Linked DNA regions of Caenorhabditis elegans. The protein of the gene in region 2 purifies or fractionates together with the protein of the main gene of each other region. This does not show direct contact. Each region holds a gene or a part of one and is shown on either strand. Other genes may lie near its edges.

What was found.
Region 1: the proteins of aaim-1 (region 2) and C32E12.4 fractionate together in Caenorhabditis elegans (co-fractionation; one large-scale study listed by BioGRID). This does not show direct contact.

Annotation. Positions count from the first base shown.
Region 1 is NC_003279.8:5,238,899-5,243,830, forward strand, and holds the start of C32E12.4 (Ubiquitin carboxyl-terminal hydrolase), read right to left. Parts: upstream 3,017-4,932; 5' UTR 2,978-3,016; coding exon 2,859-2,977; intron 2,124-2,858; coding exon 1,969-2,123; intron 1,879-1,968; coding exon 1,800-1,878; intron 1,690-1,799; coding exon 1,422-1,689; intron 1,044-1,421; coding exon 816-1,043; intron 773-815; coding exon 677-772; intron 622-676; coding exon 154-621; intron 1-153.
Region 2 is NC_003284.9:6,558,966-6,564,432, forward strand, and holds aaim-1 (Protein aaim-1), read right to left. Parts: upstream 3,464-5,467; 5' UTR 3,402-3,463; coding exon 3,365-3,401; intron 3,322-3,364; coding exon 3,260-3,321; intron 3,219-3,259; coding exon 3,145-3,218; intron 3,095-3,144; coding exon 2,852-3,094; intron 2,414-2,851; coding exon 2,287-2,413; intron 2,242-2,286; coding exon 1,762-2,241; intron 1,707-1,761; coding exon 1,527-1,706; intron 1,479-1,526; coding exon 1,232-1,478; intron 703-1,231; coding exon 605-702; 3' UTR 501-604; downstream 1-500. Other genes in the region: Tyrosine-protein kinase receptor svh-2, read left to right, coding at 1-130; dop-3 (Dopamine receptor 3), read right to left, coding at 5,339-5,441.

The sequences.
Region 1 (4,932 bases), on a different chromosome or scaffold from region 2:
ATATAAGATACTAAAATTTCAGCTTCAGCTTAAGGTATAATTTTTCGAAGCTCTAGAACCATTTTTTTGGAAGCTCTAGAACCATTACCAATTACTGACACAAACCTCTCTGGTCCTTGATGGAGATTTATCACTACGAATTCGAATTCTTACGGGCGTCGGAACATCTTGAATGTTCGTAGCAACAGGTTTTGAATCAACTTCCTTTTTATCTTCTTTCGTTTTTTCAACATCTTTTACTTCTATTCCATTAATTTTGATAGATGACACTACTTTTTTGATTGGCTCTACTAGAACTTCTGATGCTTTTTCAGGTTGTTCTATAGGTTTGATGATTTCAACATCTTCCTCCTCATCTTCTGAACTTGTATCCACCAAATTCGGAACGCCCCTCGGAACTGCTGTCACGGGGGTTGATTGGAAGTTATCAATCTTTTCAGTAGGCTCTGTAGCTTTTTGAACTTCAGGAGATTTCTCAGTTTCGAACGTCTTGGTTTCTTCTACTGAACTTTTCTTAATAGCAGAAACTCCAAAAGACGCCTCCATTTGAAAACTTCTGGTCAGTGGTTTCATCTCTGGAGATACTGACCTCGATTCCGATCTTACCACAGTTGCAATCTCCTAGAATTTTAGAATTAGAGCTATAGCATATATGAAGTAATTTTTTGAAACTGACTTTTCTGGCGGGTAATGGTGAACATTTTGGTGTAACATCTTTGCTAGGAGAGTTGCATACAGACGCACGGGGAGTTATTGAACTCGCTGAGCTTGCCTGAAAATAGAAATTAAATAGTTTTTAGTAATAAATTACCTACCCTTCTCAACCCTTTTGTTTGATATTTTGACAACACATCATCCTCGTCCTCTTCAGCAATTGAATCATCATCATCTTCAGCTTCACTTTTTGATTCAAAACGTCGAGAAACTTTTTCTGCCAAAGATTCGTCGTCTTTTCCTCCAACTTTTGATAAATCTGGTTCACTATCCGTGACATATTTCCTGTATAACTTTCGGAAAGTGCTTTCAATTTCGTCTACTTCATCCTGAAGAAAATTGTTGTTTGATAAAAATTAAGTCATCCACGTAGGTTACATCATCGCCCGGCATATTGCACACATGTGTCAACCTGCGGAGTGTAGGTCTCACAATCAGTACAACTAACGATATTTAGCAATTTTACTCGGTCTCGCCACGAAAACAGCTTATTTTAATAATGGTTTATCTCTGCTTTTTTTTTCGAATTTTTTAAATGAAATTTTGTTAAGAATTACCGTTTTTGGATTTTAGAAAAGTACAAAGGTCAAAAAAGCGACTGCGGCAAAAAAAAATTCTAATCATAAACTTTTTCTCGTGGCGAGACACATCCGAATGAACCCGTGCGCCTTTAATTAAGCACTACACACTCTTCTTTCTTCACTTACCTCGTTATCGGTTGCTCTACTCATTGATCTGTAATCTCTGTCACTTCTATATGAGCTGGATGTGGATGTTCTTGAAGAATATACAGATGACGGTGTTTTATGGGAGTTTGAATATCGATTTGAGTTTCCAGAAGATATTGTAGATGAGCGCCGACTACTGTAGCTATTGTCTGGGCTACGGTATTTGGTTGAAGAGTAGTCAGAAGTACTGGATAGATCAGTGGATCTGTAGCGAGACAAACTTGGGGTGTAGGTTGAGGTGGAGGATCTGGAAAACTTTAATTTACTAGCAGAAGTTTCAAATAATACTTCCAATCATCAATGGTGAAAAAAATAAAAATAATATAGTTACATCCGACAACCGTTGTTTTTACTCACACAGAATTATCTGGTCGATATCTTGAAAAAGTGGATGATGAGGACACCGAGTCAGCTCGACTCGTTGGAGGGTCGTAGGCTGCAAAACATGTGTGAAACATCTGGACAGGATACAATTAAATTTTAAAAAAAAGACGAAATGACCAATCAGTTTTGGAATATCAATTACCTCCAATGCTCACACTTCCAGCTCGGACATTTCTGGGAGTGTATGATGACGTGGAATTACTAGAATTTCCGCCAGAAGTGATTGATCCGGCACGGTATGACGTCGGTCGATAAGAGGAGGAAGACGATGAGTTCAGCTGATCAGTACTACCATATCTGATATAATTTTGATACAATATATGAGGGAAAAGTTTATAAAAATTGTTTTTGGCTCACATTCGGGCCGTTTGATTAAGAATCTCGTGGGAAACCCCAAACATATTCATTAATTCTGTTCATCATAATTTCTAAAAAAATCAATTTTAAATTTTTGCATTCTCACAAGAAAAGTATTTCAGTTCGTTTTTAGACTTCCGAATGAATTGAAAACATTTCCAACTGGAAAAATGTCAAAAAAACATTTTCTTTTCTAGTTTAGAGGCTCGTAAAATTGTCCATTCGTGGATTTTCGCAGACATTTAATTTTATAGGTAGTTGAACAATCACGGAAGTTTTTGGAAATTTTCAATTTTTAATTAATAGATTTATGATAGACTAGGATCGATTTGAAAAAAGTTCATAGAGCTCATTTGCTGTTAAATTTGTTTCATTCGGAAATCTGAAAGTGAGCTGAAATTTCTTCAAAAGGAAATCAAAAACAATCTATCAGCACCTTTTAAAAAATGAATATTTGAAAAACACTGTAGTTTTTGATGAACTGTACAAATTCCGTTGGCATTTAATTAAATGTATAAGACAAACTTTACAAACCTCCAATTAGTTCATCTATTCTAATAGTAAAACAAAAGTTTTCATTTATTTGTTCTTGTGATAAAGCTCAAGTTCTAGTTAATTATTATATATTTAGAAAATTGGAAACTCCAATGAACGTCAAATTTCTCCAATACCCACCTGCTTGTATATGAACTGATTCTGGGTGTATAGTCACTATTCGAAAGACCACCACTTCGAATAACTGAACTTGCTCGATTTGTAGAAGCAAATGGATCGTATGATGTTGCTCTTGGCATTCTTGTTGTTGTTTTTGTAGTTGAAGGAAGATCTCGAGACTGAAATGTTTCAAAATATGCAACCTTTAAAATTTTAAAACGAATTATCGCGTTACAATTTATGTTTGAAAAAATATCAGCTTCATAACGTTTGAAAACTATTTCAGATTGGCATTTTGGCAATTTTAAAATCACAAAAAAACTTCCAAATTTTTTTTTAACTCGATAAATGCTATATGATAAAAGGTGAGAAAACAAAAAATAAGACGTTTTCTGAGAATGCGGGAGCCAACTGAGATTCTTTGAGTCATGGGAGGAACATCAGGTGATTGACAACTTTATCGGCTCTTTTCTTCTGCCAAACCACTGCCACAACATGAGAATGCAGTAAACATGTGGGCATGTTTTCAGTGGCTCTCATAGCTTGACATTTTTCAGAAATTTCATAATTTGCAATTTTTCAACGTAGTTTTGACTGTCAAATTGTGTATTTTTATCTAATTTTTAAAATTAATTTTCAAAATATGTTTGAAAATGTCGTATTTCAATTAAGATACGAAAGTTCCTAGATAATTTTTGACATAAAATAACCTAATTTCAATAACATACACGCCCCCTTTCAACTCCATAACATGTTCGATATGGTGCAGGATCTCTTGATGAAGATGTTGTTGATCGCCTCTCAACACTTCCACTTCTGTATCGTAAACTGGAACTTTCTCTACTTGAATATGACATTTGTCTGAAACTTGGTTAGAGTCAAAACTTTGGAAAATTTACAAATTTTCGTAAAATTTCTGAGAAACTCAGAGTTTTCTTGCATGTTCGAAGTGCAAAAATGTCAAATGTCAAAATATGAATAAGAGATGAAAATCAAGCGCAAAGTCAGGTTTTCAAACATCAATCTTTTTGAACGTTATTTGTTTAATCAAACTGTATAAACTTCAAGAAACTTTCTAGAAAAAAGAATGAAATAACGGCAAACCGGATATTTGTGGCATTATTTTTGCTTGAGTTGGATTTCAAGCAAAAATCTTCAATCATTTTCTAGCACGTCAAGTAAAAAGTAAAGCTTTCAAGCTTTTGCACCTCCTGATACGAATAATGAAAACATCATTAATATTTTAAACCTGCAGAAAAAATGGTTTTCCTGGTCGACTCTCAAAACTATGACCGATGAAAACTAAGTAATATCCACTTTATGGTGGTAAATAAACATATTTCAGATTACGCTCAAAAATATTTTATGACATTTGACAATTTGAGGATTATTAAAGTAATTTTAGCATTTTCCCCACTATACCATCTTTAATAAAAGAAAACTCAGTTTTCAATGTGATAAAGTGATATAAGAAGAATTGAACTAAAGGTGAGGGAGTATAAGAAACGAAATGAAATTGTCTTCTTTATCTTCCTGTCTCCTCCAGAACACTTTCCCTATCTTTTCAATTCATTTTGTGGTGCTCAGTGAGCATTAGTGCGATGTACAATCTTCAGAGACACAGAGACAAGACACAGGAAGGGGTTACAACCGCAATGAGCAAAATGTTTCGGACATTACTTCAAGATTGAAAGACGACACCTGACACAACACGACCTCTTAATGATAATATTGTTCAAAAAAAAAACTATTGGCATTTCAAAATGTACGATTCGACGATGGAATATCTTGTTCACACACTTTTATATATACCAGCCGTTCGCACACGCAAAGCGCGTGCTCCGACTGGCGTACGCTAAATTGTTTTAATGAATTTTAAAGTGCTAATGTAGCATTTTTGTACAGTTATACATTCTCCTGGAGTTTTGCGGACTTTCAAGAAAATTCTACAACTTTCCAGGTTTTTCTTTAAAAAATTCCCAGAACTTTTTAGAAAATTCTAGAACTTTTCGGATTTCTTCAAATTTTAAGCGCTTCCAGAATTTAATAATATAATTTTTCTAGGTGCTACAAGCTTCCAGTTTAATCAAAAAAA
Region 2 (5,467 bases):
CTGTCAAAACGATACTAACGATTCCAAAACTCTTGCCGAGCTTCCATCCGACAGTCCTTCAACTTCAACTGCAATTCCACAGAGCACTCCTTACCAATTATTGAGTGAATGCTCAGAGACATCGGTCTAAGTCATCCAAGTTCACGAGGTAGATTTCTGTTAGTTCCGCGTTCAGTTTCAATATTCATGTAAACTTTTCTTCCACGACTTTGTAATTGCGCACCACCTTTCGTCCCATTCATTTTCAATATGAAAATCAATCAAAAGTTATTTTTTGCAATCAATCCGATTCTGTCCCGAGTTACTGGTACTTTCTTTGTGATTTGTATCCTTATGAATACTTCTTTTTGCATTTGTATTTTCCATCTTCCGTCTTATTGCTCCAGCGGTTCTAGTTGACAATTTGTTTGCGGGTTTGATACACATATACTTTTCTTTTTTCATCCTGTTCTCCTTTTCTATGTACTTTTTTCACATGGAAGTAAATCAATCAAATTGAAATGAGCATATTTTACAGATAGAATAAAATAAAAATAAAAAAAAACAAATGATGACATGAAATAAATAAATGGCATAAGTTAAGTGGCAATAGGGAAGAATACACTTAATTTTTTTGCTGGTGAGGTTGAATTCTGTTGATTTCTTCTCGAATTCGAGGTATCACATCCGGTGAAAATTTATGAATAGTTGGAGCAACGGCATCTGCAATTAGTTGTACTATAGAACTTTTTCAAAAACAATTTAAAGACTTTTAAGGCATCAACAGTGGAGAATCTCCATACAGAAAATAAAATAAATTAATGCAGCTTTGCTAAATCAGTTAACACTTTATATCATCGTCAGTACAAAAATTGATCTGAAGTCCTTTTTAAAATCTTTAAAAGTTGAAAACATTGTATAATTTGGTACATTTTCAGACCATTAAAGAATGAGCTTATGGGAAAATGAATAACAGTAATTTCTACGATGCTAACATGAAGTGCAGTGATGCCGGTTTTTTCGGCACCTACGTCGAAACCCTAATGAAATTTTTTGTCTAGAAAATATAGTTTGTAACAGTGATGCATATCACGTTTAATTTTAAATGCCAAATGGTTTTTTTTAGTTTTAGCCTAAAATGCAAAAACCAATATTCTAAATTTCAGCAATTATCTTACTCCCTCAAAAACTTCAGTATTGCTCCTGAAATCTTTATACATTCATGAACTCATTAATTGGTGTCACAACAAACCTATGATAGTCCGCCATGGGTCATTGTGTGCCATTTCCTTCTTTGTTTCTGCGAATGCACTTAATGCTGCAGAGAAGTAGTTGTTTGCCTGGTTTCCGAGTTCCGTGAAATTCAACGAGTTTGATTTCAATTGGCTGAGAATTGGGCTCACAGCTTCTAGTGGCGAACTGATCAATGGCGTTGGTGTAGCGAATTCAATTTCCGGTGGTATATGTGATGGTGTCTTTAGATACCATGGGGAGACGAACTAAAAAACAAATTGAAATGAATAAAGCAAATAAAAAACAAAACATACAACTCCTGGTGCCTTTGTTGGTTCCTGCTTAACTTCGTCATCATGCCAATTTATTTCAACTCTGAATGGTTGTGTAGAAGTCTGCTCAGCAGGTAACTTGAAATTAAATGCAACTGGAGGGGAGGATATTACTGTTTCCGTAGGTTTAACTGGTGCTAAAGCACTTGTTAAAGTAGACACCTGCAAAAAGATAACTTTTTTTTTTTGAAATTTTCACTGAAATAAGGGCACTAACCTGAACAGCGTCTACTTTATAGTTCCATGGAACGTACGTATGTTTGTCAACGACGGGAATAATTGTTCTGGTCGTTCTGATGATATCGTTTTTCAATGTATTTGGGTTTTTTGTGGTATACGGGTTTGGCAAAAACTTGTGCACAACTTTTGGCTTTTGAGTGGACGTTGGTTGGTTCATTGGAGCGCCACGTTCATCAACAATCACAGTTTTTATAACAGGTCCATTCGATTGAGAAGTTGTTGGCCGTGGTTTGAATTTAGAGTTTGGATCAGTTCTTCTCATGATTGGAAGACTAGTCCTCGTGACAACTCCGTCGATTACTGAAGGAAGTGCGGGAGGATGAACGGTTACATAAGTTGTGGAAGAAGTCGTTTGTGCCACCAGAGACTCAATAGGTAACCCTTTTTTCAATTCCGATTCCGGTTTTTTTCTTAGATCATATTGGCATTGCATTGGATATTCTTTGTTAGTTAAAACCTTTAATTTTTTTCTTTGTGGGAGGTTGTTAAGTTTAGACGGTACCTGTTGCATCTGTGCAAAAAATTGAGCAGCTTCTGCGGTACATTTCTTACCAATGTTGATATAAGTGCAAGTTGACACTTCCGAAAGTTCGATTTTGCTCACGCAGTCTGGTCGGGTACACATTTCTCTGAAAAGTGTGTTTTGTGACTTACAATAATCAAGTAATGTTTATTTTCTATTATTGCGGCATGTAGTACTCGTTTCCGGAATTTCCTCGACTACTAATTTTCGAGTGCTTAATTTAAAATGGAGAATATGACCATTCGCTTACAAAAAAGTAATATCTTAAATAGAAAATCATAAAAATTGTGAAATATCGTTACAGAAAACACGTTTAATTAACAACGTTATTAATTTAGTGCAAAACTATGAAAAAGGCTCATGAAAATATCTTTAAATTGTTGAAACTATAAGGATGCTTCTCGTAAAAAACAGGGGTGCAGTACTAATAGAGACTGAAGTACTACTGGAGTCTACGATACTAATTTTTAGAAGGCCTTGAAGGGTGCAGTATTAGTAAATATGCCTTACTACTGAAAAAGAAAAAGTACCTATATATACTTACCTGCATGATTGCAGCTTATCCGCAAAAACCGTATCATTTCTGTTACAAACCGATGATTGCGGTTCTGCTAGCACATCCTGAATGCATTTGCTTCTTCTCAAGAAGATCTTCTGTCGTTGTAGAGAAAATGGAGCACATAAATATGAATGTAACCTTTTTCCGCGCTCTAGTTGGGTTTTTTCAGAGGGTTTACCGCACTGTACCATTTTTTGATCAAAACACGGGAGGATGCGACTATAGGTTCTAAAACATGATTAGTTTTAGTTTGGTACTGGTTCTCCTAAATTTCAAACCTGCAAGTATGCATTAGCTTTGCTTCTGTCGTAATATTGAAAATAACTTCAATGGGATTCATATTGAAGTCAACCTAAATATGAATTTTAAAATTTTATTCCCAAGAATACATACCTTCTGAGCGCTAAGTTGCATTACACACGGCAAGAAATCCTTTAGTTGACAGCATAATGAAGCTATAAATGTAATCTTAAGAAATTGCTGTAGTAAACACCTCACCTGTGTATAAAATGCTGAAAAAAAATAATAACCTCATCAGTGGACTTCTGCTTATTAAAATGACTTCTTACACCCGCAATGAAACACGCCTGTAAATCTGCAAAATAAAATCATTGGAACATTGAAAGAAATTAAGCTATAAATGCCAACATCAAAGTACAAATGAAGTGCAAGCCGAATTGGAATGCGGTATGCACAAGTGTGGAATTATTTGGAAATGAATAGAATGACTCAGATTACACACGTGCGTGCAACCGTAAAACGACGGCATACCATCAACTACCGCGTGCTTCTCACATTGCTCGGCCCACCAAATAAAGGCAGACTTGAGAGGTGTTGAGCGGCTGGTCGCTTAGACAGTCGGGGTGGTGTCAATCTCAGCGTCTCGTCTGGCTACTTTCCATCGCGTTCGGTTTTGGCCCTACCTTTTTCTAGTTCCTACCGTAATGTCAATATTGTGTGGCAACGGGTGAGCAAGGAAATGCAGAAACCGGGAAAGAGGCGGTAGATCGACGGAAAGTGAGTATTAGGGTGTTGAATTGATTGCGTGCTCATGGCGCAGACGATACCTTGGTTTTTGATCGGACGCAAAATGGAGATGAGCGCGAAAAACCATGGCGTACGAAAACTATGTCGGGCTAGGCTGTCTGTCAGCTGACATAAGCTGTTAATGCACTGTTTGGCAAACAAACTTCAGGAAGTGTGAAATATGAAATTATCGCCTGATTCAATTGGATGAGTTTTGAGTTTTGATCTAGGTTTATCAGCGAAGAGCAAAAGTGTCTAATACACGGGATATTCTAAAATGACAAGCACAAGTTTCCAGTAGAACTCAAGTTTACCACAAAAGTACGTATGACATGAAATTTAATTTTAATAAAATCTCAATATTAATGCAGGTTTTACTTACCGATGTTTTTCAAGTTTTCATACTTACATATGAAAGGAAAATTCACTAATGGCTTCAATGGCAGTTTTTTAATACATATATTAGTTAAGGTATTAGTTCGATAGGTGCACGAAGATTACAAATTTGTTCCCATCGCCTCCCATCGACTCAAAATGTCTATTTACTATTAAAAATATGCACAATAAAACAAAAAAAAGCAAACAAACAAGGAAATTAAATAAAACCAAGAAAAATTTAGCAAAATTTAAATCTCAAAATAGGTATATTGTGATATTTTTTGTAATGTTTTGAATGATTATAAATTTTTTTAAACACATTTTCAAAAAGTCTCACTATGAGAGACTTTTTGAAGTGTTATGAAATGTTATCTATTGAAAACATGTTGGGGTACTGCTTATACACAAGTTACTTTTTTAATAACCGAAACTCGTTGGAAGGTCTTTCACAAGTTCAATATTCAGTCGGATATTCCAGTCTGAAATTATAATTGTTAAAAATCGAAACAGTTGAAATGATAATCCTATTGCTTCTAGTTTTACTCTTCACCTCTGAACTTCAGCCGAGTCATCAGCCGCACAGCCCTACTCTGAAGATAGAGATCAGTTTTTTTGTGCATTTCCAAACTAAGAAAAAGCAGGGATTCGTGATAATGTTGAAGAACCATCTCAACACTACTTACATGTAACCTGACTCTGTTCGAAAGTTGACCGGAAGCCCCCGGTACATAAACAACATGACCTTCCACCCGCCATGAGTAAACATTCCACTATTTCAGACCTCTCACTTTCTTACACACGCCCTTCAATCTCAATAGTGTTGAATGGAGGAAAACGGTCAGACGGGAACAGTAATGCTCTTTTGTATCCATATCGCCCCTTTCTGGGAGACGGCACGATTAGCAAACCGAACGAAGAAATTGGATACGGTAAAGTTGAAAAACTAGAGTATCGTTTTATTTTTAAAATAAATAATTTTTTCGAAATTTGAACGTTCAAAACGATCAGTAAGGCAATGACACATAAAGTTTCCATACAAATAGAATAAGAAAATAAAATATATTAAGATCATCTTTTTTTGAATATCCCGCATGATAAAATGTTCCGGAAGGCATTTCGGAATCTTTGGTCAAAAACTGTGTAGATCAATGGATTGAGAGAAGAATTGAGACTGAAATTAATTATTTAACAGAATGT